Oreochromis niloticus: one gene and its partner. The protein of the gene in region 1 purifies or fractionates together with the protein of each later gene. This does not show direct contact. Links are inferred from orthologs where the notes say so. Each region holds a gene or a part of one and is shown on either strand. Other genes may lie near its edges.

Region 1 (7,514 bases):
CAAAGAAGTGCAGGCCTGTCCTGTTTTCTGCACCAGCCGAAATCTATCCCAAGAAGAAGGAGAAGAAAAGAAAAAAGAAAATCAAATAAATTTCAAAAGCATCGAAGGTTTTAAGACTCCATTCTGAATATATTTAATATTCTAATTCACAGGAAGAACATTTATGAATCAAACAATCCTGGTTGAAAAGTAAAGTCCTAAATCCTAAACAATACAGAATTCTGTACATTTATACTAAATAACCAAGTGTCACTCATAGCCACACACCTGTTTCTACTGATGTCAAAAACATAAATGTTGCCATGGTGATCCCCAGCCAGGAAGGAATCACCGGTGGTGTCGAAGGCCACGTGGAGGAAACGCACCGTCTTGGCCTGCTGAGCAGTGCGGACCACAGTCACTACTAACACACTGAAAAAGGCAAACAACACACCTCATCAGAGACGAAAGATGAAGAGTGTCTGAGTGAATCATGGCTGCTCCCTAGTGGTCACCTAGGAAAAGACCTCTCTCTCTCCACATGTGCAGCAACCACCTGAGGTCTTACTTACACAGGTGTGGAATATTGATGGATGAAAAATTATTGAAAGTGTCTTAATGGGGAGCTACATTAACATTACCTTAGGAATAGCACAATTTCTCACTGGCACAGATTCTTTATAAAAGAACTGAAATCAAAATCAAATTTCATCACTGGGCTCCTTGATGGTGGTGTGACAGAATGCTTGAAAACGAGTGAGTAATAGATCATTCTCGCATTTTTTAATATTTACTAAAAACAATAACCAATGTCCTAAAAATGAATGATTAGCAACAAGGATATGACCTAAATGACAAGAACAAAATTTGCTTGATACTAAGTATTATACAAATTTTGCATAAATTTCGTTCAGAGCAAAATATAATCAAAGAGCACGAGACATTCAAAGCATGTTTTCTGTAAGAGAAGGAATTCGTAATTTAACTACATAATTTAACGACCCCAAGATGACATCTGATGACCTCCCATGGACCCTTAATAATGAGTTATGACACGTTAGTATACATCAAAGATGTGGTGTGACGACCATGTGATGTTTCCATTTTTTTTTCAAGGGTAGCTGCAGAGGCAGAGACCACCCTCTTTAACTTCTGACGCACACTCACTCGTTCTGTTCTATAACCAAATATGACAGAAAGCGACAAAAGACCTCCAAGGTTTTACTCCTAGTAGGGTTTCAAGGGCTAAAGAGTTAAGGGTTTTTGCAACTTTAAAACAGTCACTGTGCGTACTACAAGAAAATATTTCGAACTGAAGCAATGTGCAACATAAAGCAGTTCAGAAAAAGGTATAAAGATATGGTTTTCGTGAGGTATAAGAAAGAGAAAGATGTTTGAATGTCAATTAATGTCTCTGGTTAATTAGTTGGTATTCCAGGTTTATTCAGATTTTGCAATCAACACACCAAAGTTGGAGGTATTTGTCTTTCTTGAGAGGATGTAAAATTATGGAGCTGTAGAAACTACATATGGTAATATTTCTGTCCCTGGCTTCCTCTCACATCCCAAAGACCTGCAGTTAGTGGGATTAGGTTAACTGGTGATTCTAAATTTGCATTGGTGTGAGTGTAAGGATGATTGGCCTGCATGATGCTGTCCAGGGTGTACCTGGACACTCTATTGCAACTGGGATAGGCTCCAGCCCCCACCCCAACAACCCAGAATCAGATAAGCTGAAAAAGAATGGGTGGTTAAATGGATTTTGTATTTTACACAGTGTATGTAAATGCAAGTGAAAGTGAAATTATAAATATGTATATTGTTGTTATTGAGGTTTATATCAATAAAGAGGCAGGATAAACAATAACGGATTTATGGACAAAGGGTGGGGTTAAATAAGTGCGCACTTCTTCCTACTCTTTTGGATATGTAAACTACGTCAGCCAAAGTGAAGCAGTGTATTCTGCATGACTTTCTTTATACTGCTTCCATGTTCAAAAGAAACTGAACTAAACAAGCAAACAAATAAATGCCATAGACAATTTCATCCATGTCTCCTCCATGGATGTTTCATTGGGGTGAAATTTGGAAGAGGTCACAGAGCACTAGTCGCAATATTTTTATATTCGTTAAGCCAGTCAGAGACCTGTAGAGAAGATTTTCATTTATTTATTCAAAATTTCCTTTAATTTGATTCACATTCAAACATAAATCATTTGTAAAGCTGCAATTTGCTAGAACTACAGTTAAAGTTTCATAGTTTTCCAGGATTACTGCGGCCTTAATAAAGTCGTAAAACACAACTAAATCTTTGATTGCAATTAGTAAATAAAATAACTCATCACAACAGTAGTAACGAATCAGTATTCGTTATGTAAATACCAACAGAAACAGTAGAAATACTCACAGTAATAGTGCCAAAATACAGCAACCACGGCAATAAAAACTGGCAACTTAGAGCGGTATGTGTAATAAAGATAACCCGCATGTAAATGAGTCCGTGCAGCATCAGCTGCTGACAGTCTGAGAAACTAAATAAGACTTTTGGGAAAATTAAACCTACCTTTTCCCCGGTGTTGGCTTTCGATACCAGATTTTACCCTCCTCTTTGTTCCCAATGTCCGTCACCTCCATTTTCAAAAAGTCCACACAGTTCAGGAGGTAAATTTACAAAACACCGCTTGAGTAAACTTAATGTCACTATGATATTGCATGGCTTCTCCGCTAACAGATTAGCCGGCTAATCTGTTAACAGGCGGGGTAAACAGCGGCAAATTTAAAAGAGTAACATTGACTAAGTGCGGTAATGAGCAGAGAAGCCGTTTATGCTCTCGATAAAAGCTTAGCAATGTAATTCAGATTTAAGTAGTGCCCTAAAGGTTTAGCTGACCCCCTACGAACAGGTTTTCTTCACCTGTTATTGTTGTTGTTTATTTTATTGGTTGGTTTTGAGAACAGTTTTTTGTCGCCCAAAATTGACGAAATACGTCAGAAGGCGTGGCCAAGGAGCGTAAACGGCGAGGCTTTGTTACCCCTGTAAATTTTTTTTTCCTTTTTAACAATACCCAGAAAAAAAGTGAATATTGAGTAAATTTTTATTTTAAAATAACATTTAAAATTAAATACATGACGTTTATTTATGTATTAGTGTATATTTGTTTATTTTATTTATTTATTCATACATTCATCCACATCCACACAGTAAAGCTCCCAGTTTGCCAGTTATTCATTTTATTATGATAGTGTTTTTGTTGTTTTTATTATTATCAAAGTTTTGTTATCTCATATGTCAGACATCCAAAAGCCATTCTAATACTTAAGTATGTAAGTAAAAAATCGAAATCCTTCACCCTCTTCTTTAAAGGCAGAGTGAAAGATAAAAGGTAAACTCCAGCAACTGAACCCTGGGATAAATAATTACGATTAACTGATCGCCACCACTTTTTAAAAAGCCTTATTTCTTCCCCAGTCCTCTTCTTGTGGTCTGTGTTTAGATCTCCACAGGGGGCCGCGAGACCTGCGTCGTTCGGCACGCCTCTTTGTGTTGCTGGCTGCCTCTGGATGGTCAAGTGAGCGTGTTTGCAAATTTCACAGGAAGTGCAATAAAATGCAAGGCAATCAAGATATTGTTAGATACTGAAAACACATCCGGTTTAAATTTTTAAATTAAGAGCTTATTAGAAACAAATTTGGCCAATATATGTGCAAGCACACGGGTTGGCATCTATTTACACTTTATCGTCAACTATGCACATCCTTAATATTATAAATGACCGCACGAACTGATCATACTGCCTAAGGACCTTTGTAACACTTTTACACAGTGCGAGCAGGAAAGGTTCCTCTAAAATTCTTCATTTTATGTGTGTGTTATCTGTGCATGTGTGAGTTCAGGGTGGTTATGGCATTAGGGAAGAAACTGTTTTTGACTCTGTGGGTTTTTGTGCTGATGCACCTGTAGCGCTTCCCTGAGGAAAGCAGGCTGAACATGTTGTAACCAGGGTGGGCCATTATTTGCCTCGGATAAACGTAGTTTGTTGATTGATAATAATAATTTCAATTATATTTTTATAATTTTATTTGTTTCTAGTTCAGTAACAGTCACAAAGTAAGTAAAAAAGATTTTTGTTTCATCCAGTCTGTGGTAACAGTTGTCAATTAGGTTTTACTTTGAGAAGCTAAACCGGATGTTTCCTCTCTGATGTCAGTGGCTTCGTCGTATTTTGAAGCTAGCTCACTGTGATTAGCCACGTCATGTAAACTTAACAGTGGAGCAGTTGTGATATAAAGACAGGAAGCAGTCGCTGGTTTGGGAAGGACTTTAGGGAATTGTTAAAGAGGAAATTTTATTTCAGGTCTCAAAGTTGGCAGTAATCCTATGGAAAGATGTCAGATATCGGGGACTGGTTCAGAAGCATCCCTTTCATCACCCGGTACTGGTTCGCTGCCTCCATTGCTGTTCCCCTTATAGGCAAACTGGGATTGGTTGATTTCAGGAATCTCTTGCTATTTCCGGAGATGGTCTTCAGCAGATTTCATGTGAGTGTTTCTTGGTTTTTGGTAACTTGTCTGTCTGTTGGATTAGATAGCGAACAAATGCTGAGTTACTGTCTTTTGGAAACTAGGAGTTAGTTAGCAGGTGGCTAGCACTGCTAACTCAGCAGGCCTGAGTGTGGGGCAGCCAATGAGAGGACGAGACGCAGGAGGGTGGGACTTCCGGATGCTGTCAAAATGCTTGGATATGTAGTAACGCTGAAATGTAAACTAAATATAAGACGAGTGAAAACAAATACATATTTTCTATAATTTAATTACCAGAGAAGTAGAGACACGTTTTATTTTAAAGCATTTGTTGCGATAATATACGTTAGTTTTAGTGCGCTCTCGTCCACAAGGTGGAGACAAGTATTGCAGGGGATGTTATGAAATTAGGCCCTCAGGCACTGTGAAGGCCTCTAAATCAGGTTAACAGTGGGTTCATGCAAGGTTAGGGCATAGGTGTAAATCAGTAATCAAACACAGCTCAGGGCAAAGGGAATCAACCAGTCTGATCACTTTAAGTGCTGAAAAGTAGCTACCAAGTAATTCACTTCATATCAGTTCTAGTACTTAACTTAGAAGGAAATGTCATCATTCCACCTTCAGTAAATGGAAATATATCTCACAGCTATAGTTAAGGGATAATCTGAAGAATATTAAATATACATAATTACAGCATTAATACAGTACTTTGCTATGTACTTTGTTTGCATTGGTATTACTGTGTTTTCTTAAGTGAATGAATAAGCTTCTTTTAACTGAACAATCCATACACCTTCTGGAATTATTGGACTTTCTTGCTGTGGATTATTAATCTTAGGACATGTTGATTAAAACCACAGTTAATTTCATTATGTAGGCAGCCAATTGTGTGGCTAATAAAAGAAAGCAAAATAAACTGAAATAAAAATGCAGTAGTGCAGAGTCAGTATACTATATATAACCCCCTGATCTTTATGAGCCTATAAATTGTTAAGTGATAGTTAAGATGGTCACGCAAGCTGTGTGAAAGCACTGAATATGAGACTCTGTTGATTGAAAAGTTATTAACCTTTTGTCAAGTCCCAAACAACAAAATAAGATTATTTTTTTTTGTTGGACAGCACAAAAATTGGATAATGGTATGATCAGACACTTCTTTAAATTGTGACTGCATCTTGTCTTTTGCCTCCAGATTAATGGGAATTTAACATTTAAATGTGGTATTGATTTGACTTCTTTTACCAATTTTCAAATCTTTCTGTGAGGAAACACACACTCTGCAGAGGAATACCACACAGGAAGTAATAATTTGCAACCCACATGAGACTTAATGTGTTACAGACTTGGTGGTGAACATCTGGATGTGCAAACAGGCACAGCGACGTTGATGTCTTACTGCTTTTCTGTTGGGTTAATAACTCTTCTGCTTATTTCAGATCTGGAGACCGGTAACAGCCACTCTTTATTTCCCTATAACCCCTAATACCGGCTTCCTCTACCTGGTCAACCTATATTTCCTCTACCATTACTCCACTCGACTAGAGACAGGTAAGATCACCGGCCTTAGCGGTTTCTAAACATACAGCGCTCTTTCTAGCATCTTGTATTCATTTGTGTCATCATCATCTTCATCCTCATTTTTTTTTCTTATACCAGGGTCATTTGATGGCAGGCCTGCAGACTATATCTTCATGCTTCTCTTCAACTGGATCTGCATAGTTGTATCCTTTCAGATTGGCAATTCCTGTTTTAAAATCTCACATTTTAATCTACCTAACAGGAAATTATTCTTTCGTCATCCAGTTACCTCGCTGTTAGCCTATTTCCCACTCTACCATTCATTCTGACCCCTCCTGCTTTTGATCTCTCCTGCATTTCTCTTTCATCTTCTCTCTGCCTCTCTCTCTCGTTCGCTGCAGCAGTGTGCCATGTCAGGGTGGCTCTGTGCCAGCGGCCCGGTGTCAGTCTACCCCTGCAGAGCAGAGAAACCTAATCTAGGTCACATGCAGCACCAGCAGTACACTCAGGCCCACATCTCAGCTCTCTGTCTTCTTGTGAGAGTTCAGCTTAGATTGGCTGCTTGCTGCTCAGACATTTCTCTTTTATATGGGAAAAGCAGCAAAACTCTACCTCATCCAAACAACATGTTCAGTCTTTGTCGGTTCAGCTAAATGGTGAGAACAGCTTAAAAAAAGTGTGGGAGGCGTAACCTTCCAAGGTCAGATGCCTTGCTCAACTGGAAACGGCAGAGGTGCCTGCCAGCTTCCAAAAACCGGTGTAGGGGATTTGAACAGGCAACCTCCCGGTCCCCAGCTGTTCTAATTGTAGAGCTCCAGCTGTGATTGTATTGTTGTCGTCCTTGACTCAACCTGCAGATAACCGGGCTGCTGATAAACATGCAGGTGAGAATCTTCCTCGTCTGTCTCTCTCTCTCTGCATGTAGACTGCTGTAGCATCTATATAAAGCATTTGTTTACAACCGTCCTTTGAAATCTTAGGAGTGTTTCATAACACAAGACACCCACTTTAAAAAGGAAAGGTTTACATTTTGGAGAAAAAAAATAAACACTGCAGAGACGCTGCCACCTGCTCCTCTAAAGCTTACTAATTTCTGCGGCATTTCACAAAGCTTATCCAGACAATTTCTTTCTGGTCCTGGCCAAGAAATTGCATTAGGAAAAAGTAAAGTTGCACAGATTAAAGAGCATCAAATTAACTATTAGCGTGCTGGTAAGTGGATTTGACTCTCTTTGGACAGAGCCAGGCTGATGTGTTGTTTGATGGTATGCGACATTGACCTTGTGGTGGTGGTGGGACGACAGTGTGCAGAAAAATGAATCAGACTTACATAAACTAGAAGTTTTGAAAACTTACTGTAAAAATACTTCTGGCTTGTTGATTGTGACTTGCTGGTTTTGTTCATCTTTTCAGCTGCTGATGATCCCCCTGATTATGTCTGTGTTGTACGTCTGGGCTCAGTTCAACAAAGACACGGTGGTGTCCTTCTGGTTTGG
Region 2 (7,492 bases), on another chromosome or scaffold:
TAAAAAAGATTAGACGTAGGTTTGCAGCGCTGATGCAACTTTAATCTAAAGGTGTTCTTCTATCCTTGCTGACGGTTTCATCATCGCCGTTTCATCAGGACTTCAGAGAGCAGAGGGAGACACGAGTAACACGGCAACTAAATTACATCAGCACGTAACGAGGGAGCCTAAACACAACGCTGTAAGGCAACTGTGCCTCTAACTGTAGGGTCGTTTCCACAGATTAACAGTAAGCCTAAAACAATATTTCCTAATAACAATGCATTTCAGACCTCAAACACTGTGATAAAAAGAAGTTTTTAAGATCGGGACTCAAACCCTCTAAGCTGTGTGAATCATTCAACATTTTCCTTTCACAAGTTGCGTAATGAAATAAAAACTTCCTTCAACTGAAGCAACAGGAAAAAAAGTTCAACCAAACTAAATTAAGCCTGACAAAGCCGGGCGAAGAGTGAGTTTGGTTGTTTTGGAAGGACCAAAATAGACAAACCCACACCAAAATTGTGTAATGATTAGTGCGCTTCTTGGATTTCACATCATGCAATTTTTACCAAAACACTTTCACCTCACAGCAAGAAAGTTCTGGGTTTGAATCCACTGGCTGGGCGGAGCCTTCCTGTGTTGAGTCTGTACGTTCTTCCTGTGTTTGGGTAGGTCCGACTTCCTCCCAGAGTCCAAAAAACATTGCATGTGGCCATGGAGGAGTCGTAGATGAAGTGCTTGAAGTCTATACAATATGTATGTATGCAAGTATGTACGCTTAGCTGCGGTTTGTAGTCTAAATGAGCTCTTAAAGGCCTTTTTAAAACTACAAGCCACATTTACCCTCCTCCCCACACATGCAGTGTTTCATTCTATGCCTTTAGGTTTATCAGGGTTTCCTGTTCAGTCACCTGCAGACTGGAGAAGTCAGTGGTAGCTGGTTTGCTCTAGTTCTTGCCTGCTTAGATTTTGCATCCCTATCAGAATTTTTGTTTCAAATAAAAGACAAAATAAAAAGTTAAACCACGGGTTGCTCCTATCATGTTATTTCCTGGGGGTGAGATGATATGATAGATCTTGGGCAGTTAAAGAACACGTCGATTTTTATTTCCATGTTTGCTGCTGAGCTCACCTGTGAAACAGAGAGAACATCCACAATCGCAAACATGTCACTGTGTAAGCCCACACAGGTCTCTGTTGCCAAAACACACTCATCCAGCCTTCGTCACTTAAAACTACAAACAGGTGCCCACTACGCTTTGACATCAGCTACAGTTCTGCTGGAAAAGATTAGGATGACCTTCGGGTCGGCCCTAATCCCACATTAACCTCAGCCAAGAGTCACAACTCATGAATGAAGCCACCACATCACTGAGCGTTTGTAAATATTCAACACAGAGTGGCCTGAAGGTTGAGCCTTGTGCAAGGCCAGAGCCAACAGTGATGGGACAAACTAGAATTACGGCTGTTACCCAACACCTACTTTCAGTCTTTGATAAAACTTGTCAGCTATGCTGTTTTCTAATCTCAGGATTCTGGCTCACCGAGGCCACAGCTACAAGGCGTTTTCACTGCTCATTATGTGCATTCAGCATATTGTGAACCTGATCTGAAAGCTGCCAATGATCAGCAGGGAGGTGGAACACAGAAGTTAATGTGTCACCGATCAAACCAGGCGCCAATTGCAGCTGTGACCTCTGACTAGGGCTGGGTGGTCTGACCAAAAACTTGCATCACAGACTTTTTAAAGACTCGTGTGGTTTCACAGTACGCACTTATCTTGGTCTGTTAAATCAGACATGGAACACTGAGAACTGATAATAATCCAGCTATGAAACTGCTCATCAGCTGAGAGTGTGCGCTTCAATCCCAGATTGATTTATTTGAAATCCACTGTGGTGGTGTACAACCCCCCCGAAAACATCTTACTGTCTAACAAATTACAGACTATCACAGAATGAGGTTTACAATGACTCATTAGTCATTGATATTTAGATAGATATGGATTTTTCCAATTTTTCCTCTAGTAAGCTCTGATGCATACCCATTCACATTCACTGTCTTCTGGATTCCTGAAATATGACAGAAACTGCTCAGTTCAGAAAAGACAGACAATGGTTAACCCTAGTAGGCGTCCAAGGGGAAAGGGATAACTGCCTGTTATACATTACCTCACATGATTCCCAGTCCCGCATCCCTTTTTAGCATTAAAAACCCCGCACAATCTCTGACCCTAGAATAAAAAGTCCATAGATGCATCCCTGATGAAAACCACAGTTTGAAAAACTACTGTGGAAAGGAAAATTGATTACAAAAGGACACAAAGACTGTGCATAAGATCAAAACAGCAAACTTCAGCTTCTTTTTTAAACCTCATTTGCTTCAGTCAATGCCAAACCTGTAGCCTATATAGCCTGTTGTGCATTTCTTCTATTATTTCCAAATTTCAGATATTCTCTCAACTCCGAGTGTCCCACACAAATACCTTCTTTGTCCCACATTTAGTTTATTAGGATCTGCTGATTCCAGAAACTTTATTAACTTTAAAAACATGTGATCACTCTTTAAGGCATTAAAAAGGCGGCTTAGATCACGGGTTAAAGTTCAGCTACATGCTGAAGACAAACACCCTTCACAGAGTTATCTAATAGTCTCTTATCCCGTTCACAACCGACTGATTACCGGAGCGTCGAGGGGCGTGATTCCGCCGTTAGAAACAACCCAAAAGGAGGCCTAACAGGCGGCCAAACAAACCACACTAAGTCCGTGTTTGCGAAATAAATGAAACCAGCACGTACCAGAACAGGTGTCCGCACAGACTGATGACGGCGTCCCTGGCAGTGTCCAAGCAAATGTTGCACTCGAAGGTGGCTCGATCCCGCTCCCGTTCGCTCTCCCCGCTGCCGCCACCCGAACCGTCGCGGTCGTTGCTGCTCTCCCCGGCCGGGAACCCTCCTCTGCTGGCCGGCCCGCCGTCACTCGAGAACCGGTGATCCGCGGCCGCCATAGTGTTTATTTTCCAAACGAATAAAGAAACGAAGCGAGCCAACCCGCGGCGGCCAGACCCGAAATAACGTTAGCTGTCAGCGGTAACAGTTGCTGCTGTCACCGACCGAGCCGAGGCTGCTGTCTCTGACCGAGAGACGACTTCCGTTTCCGGGAAAAACAGGACGCATGGGCGGTCTTAATTTAAACACCACCGCCACCGCCACCACCACCACAATAATAATAATAATAATGATAATAATGATAATAATAATAATAATAATAATAATAATAATAATAATAATAGTAAGAAGAAGATGAATTACTGATACGTACACCTTCGTCTCTAGCCAATCCTCATTTCGTTTGTGGTAGGAAAATAGAAGCGATTTATTGAAACATGACAAAAACAAACAAACAAACAAAAACATCGCCTAATAGCTCTTTGGGAAACACAACATTCGGGCATGTTTCATAGACTCAGCTAAGGAAATTGTAATAAACTTTGTTGAGCTGTGAATATCAACGCGCCTAAATGTATCTTTTTCTGTTATATGTAGACAAAACACTGGTTCATCCTTTTTATCCTTGAATGATTCATAGCTCAGTGTTAAGTGGCTTAACTCACAGAAAACGTTCCTCTGAAAATAGTCAGGTAAGGACTGAAATAAAAAAAAAAACCCCAAAAACAGCTGCTTACACCACTTTAAAAATCACAAGAAAGTCTGGCTCCATAGAAGTAAAATATAAAGATATGAATAGTGACTCGAGACTGTTGCACAGCATAACAGGTTAAATTTAAACTCTAACGCCACAACAACAAAAACATTATTTATTCGCTTTTACTGTTTAATGAATTTCATGAAAATAGGAAGAATATTTGCTGCTCATAGAAAAAATAATTAATAGCGACAGGCTGGAGGTCTTTGATAATTTAACCCAAATGTTTTACACTCACAACATACACGAAAGAAAGAAAGAAAGAAAGAAAGAAAGAAAGAAAGAAAGAAAGAAAGAACGAACGAGGGAACTTTAGTCCTACATGTTGTTTCCACTCGGACAGTTGAGGAGTACGGACGGTAAGCGTGTTGTGTACAGGGTCCATGCTGTGTGTGATAATTCTAACGTTGTAACGTTAACAGTATTTTCACGGTTAACCCGCGTCACTGACGGCTGTTTGTGTTTTAATACGCGCTCTTTCGTCACTGACCCGCCGCCATGAAGATTAAGCGGCAGAAACAAGCCAAGAAGACGATCAGTTTCTACAAATACAACTTCGGCTTCAGGGAACCCTTCCAAATCCTCATCGATGGCACTTTCTGTCAAGCGGCCTTAAAGAACAAGATTCAGATCAAAGAGCAGATGCCCAAATACCTGATGGGAGAGGTGCAGTTGTGCACCACCAGGTGAGTGCATTCACCTCTGAGCACCCCCCTCCTCCCCACCCACTACCCCCGATCACTTTTTGGCACAATACGTCATCATACACGTTTTAATAATGTGTCCACGTGTTCACGTTCAGCTGTGCGCTGAAGGAGCTCGAGACGCTTGGAAAACAGCTGTACGGGGCCAAGATCATCCTGCAGAGGTTTCAGGTCAGGAAGTGTCCGCATTTCAAGGAGCCGGTCTCAGCATCAGAGTGTCTGCTGTCCATGTTGGAAGAGACCAACCCGCACCACTACTTCGTTGCCACACAGGTAAATAATGAGATGAAAGTGGGAAAATATTTTTGGGTGCTCTGATAAACCCCTGATTCCCCAAAAGCTCTAACGATGTGGAAAATGTAAATGAAAACCATAATGCAGCGATTTGAATTTTCTACCCACAGTAGAACATAGAAAATGTAGAAAATGCTTAAATTGATTCCTTTTACTCTTTTGTGAAAATATACTGGCTTATTTCGAATTTGATGGCAGCAATAAGTCTAAAAAATTGTTACAGGGACATGTTGTGTGTGTGTATCATGCCCTGTTCTTTTGACAACAGCCTGTAAACATCTGTGAACCGAGGAGATCAGCTGCTGAAAACTTGTTTCCATTCTTGTCTGATTTCGGATTATAACTGCTCAGTGGAGCAGATGACAGATAAGTTACAGATATCTCTTTTGTCTCATTATGTCTCCAGGACTACACAGTCACCACGGGGCTGAAGAAAATTCCAGGAGTTCCTCTGCTCTACATCATCCTCAACACAATTGTGCTGGACAAGCCCAGCCAGGCGTCCCTCGACCACGTCCAGGCCGTCCAGCTGGGAGAGCTGGTCAGCCCGGCCCAGCAACAGAGCATCCGGACCCTGAAGGAGGAGCAGGGAATTGGCCAGAAGGACAGAGAACGGCGTGGGAAGAAGAGGAAGAGGAAACAGTCCAACCCTAACCCGCTGAGCTGCCTGAAGAAAAAGAAGAAAGGAGTCCCGACACCTCCGCTGAAGAAGACGGAGCAGGAGGGGAAGAGGAAGAGAAGCCGACACAAGAAACGAAAAGTGGAGGCAGGAGATGGCACAGCTGCTAATACATAAAACAGCAGGAAGACAGAGACTTCAGCCTTCTCCATTCACCTGATTTATAGGTTTACGTTTTGATATGACTGCAGAGGAAAAAAACTGTTTTTTACATAAATGATATTTTAAAAATGCCATTTTGTAGTGGTATTTGTTTTATTTTGAAAAACCTTACAGGCAAGGGAATGAAACTGTTCACAGACAACATCTGTATGATTTCTTTTATACAAAATCAAAAAAGCAGGTTTCATTACAGGCACATAGTTTAAAATATAAGATGCACTCAGACATTAAACAGTATACCCTTTTTCTTTTTTTTTTTAGATGGAAGAGGATATCAAAAACAATGCATTCAGCTGTCTCTGCAGTGTGGACACATTAACTTGTTTCCACTGTTGGTATTTCGTGCAGATTAAATTTAAGCTGCAGTATTTTCTCGTACCACGATGACTTACAGCAACAAAAGTCCATCCAGTTTCCATCTGATCCTGTCATCCAGCCATTCTAGAGATTAATAATGAAATCTGCTTTTAAATAAAAAAACAATTCATTCTCTTTAGCTGCTATACAGCAATACAACAATAAATTAATACTATCAAAAGTGACAAAGAGCACAACAACTTAATTGTCTTAATAAACAAGACAGTGCATCACTGTATCCATATACAATAAGGACACTGAGTAAAGTGAATCTGACCTCAAGTTATTTTAAGGATTTGGAAAAAAAAGTAACATGGCAATAAAAAGAAATTTCACACAAATTGCACTCGATTCAAATATTTCAGGATAGCATGCAAGTATAGCAGACCACTCATGTTTTCATCTATATGCTGAGGTCCCGAAGCTAGGTTTTATTAAACTGTGTCCCAAATCCACAGCACATAGTAACAAGATCCAAGACAACGTGATGAAAAGTTCCAATATTTTATATTTATACTAACAGGCAATGATGGAGAAAACTTAATTCCTTATAAGTTTAGAGAGGAAGCAGCAGGAGTTGTTAAAGGTGTTCCCAGACCTGTTTTATCGGAATTTTAAATCTGAATCACAGGAAAGTGTGCATAATCACGGTGCGCTGAAAAAACAGGTGATTTTTACCCCTCAGCCTGAAGGTTGATGGGGTATTGTTATCCCCTAGTCAGGCAGGCGGGCCTCAGACAGCATGAACATGAGAAAAAGATCATATAGGATTTATGTTTAAATAGACCTTTGACAATAAGCAATAAAGTCTAATCTCTGTTTTGTCATTTTTACTGTCTTTCCCAATGCCGGTAAGAACACACTGTGTTAAGAGAGCAGCCATAAATTAACGGTGGATAAATTATGCTCACTTTTAATGTTTCCGTCATGACCCGGCAGCTAGGTGTTCTAGACCTTGTTCTTCCATAGGATTTGTGTCAGGAGGCTGGTAGCCATCACTATTTTTAAGTTTACACAATCCTCAAATCCTGCTTAGAAATTAGTATGTTGTGTGGATTTGGGTCGTGTCTATTTTTTTAATTTTTTTTTTACTGACAGCAACAGCAACAACAACTTAGAGTCTGTAATACTTAAAGTGCTACTCTACAGCTGTATAATGATTAGCTGCTGGTTGAGTCTGTAGAGAACTACTATAATAACTGTTTAAATGTACTCTTGGAAACAGTGCATGCTCCTTCTGTCTAATATGATGGTGAGAGACTTCAGAAGGAAACCTTCACCTGCAGTAGTGAGAAAAATAGAAGTAACATGTTTGACTGACTGTAAACAAATCATTACACTGGACTCCTTCACTTTGGTGAGACGCCAGCAGCCACAAACAATGAGATGCAGGTGATCCTTTATACTGATTGGGATATAAAGTGAGTAAATAATAAATATGTTCATTGTTTGAGTTCCAACTACGTTAGTCAGACCCACTTCCACTGAACCACCACTGCTTCACATTTAAATGATGCAAAAATGAAACCATTTCACAAACAAAACAATCTCAGCATACTTAAATAAAACTTGTGCTAAACTAACAGATAGTGCTGCTGACTAAAAGTAC

The links. Proteins that work in one complex are often made in the same cells at the same time.
Region 2: the proteins of derl1 (region 1) and rnf5 purify together in Homo sapiens (affinity purification with western blotting; 4 studies listed by BioGRID and IntAct, with this or other methods). This does not show direct contact. The link is inferred for Oreochromis niloticus from reciprocal best matches to the Homo sapiens genes DERL1 and RNF5.

Annotation. Positions count from the first base shown.
Region 1 is NC_031976.2:12,325,938-12,333,451, forward strand, and holds the start of derl1 (derlin-1), read left to right. Parts: upstream 1-4,177; 5' UTR 4,178-4,365; coding exon 4,366-4,518; intron 4,519-5,936; coding exon 5,937-6,048; intron 6,049-6,156; coding exon 6,157-6,221; intron 6,222-6,875; coding exon 6,876-6,902; intron 6,903-7,431; coding exon 7,432-7,514. Other genes in the region: tbc1d31 (TBC1 domain family member 31), read right to left, coding at 1-43, 268-411, 2,543-2,613. UniProt on the Homo sapiens protein: Functional component of endoplasmic reticulum-associated degradation (ERAD) for misfolded lumenal proteins. Forms homotetramers which encircle a large channel traversing the endoplasmic reticulum (ER) membrane.
Region 2 is NC_031985.2:15,433,485-15,440,976, reverse strand, and holds the start of rnf5 (E3 ubiquitin-protein ligase RNF5), read right to left. Parts: upstream 3,165-7,492; 5' UTR 2,990-3,164; coding exon 2,781-2,989; intron 1-2,780. Other genes in the region: rRNA-processing protein UTP23 homolog, read left to right, coding at 4,186-4,373, 4,490-4,664, 5,092-5,481. UniProt on the Homo sapiens protein: Membrane-bound E3 ubiquitin-protein ligase that mediates ubiquitination of target proteins. May function together with E2 ubiquitin-conjugating enzymes UBE2D1/UBCH5A and UBE2D2/UBC4.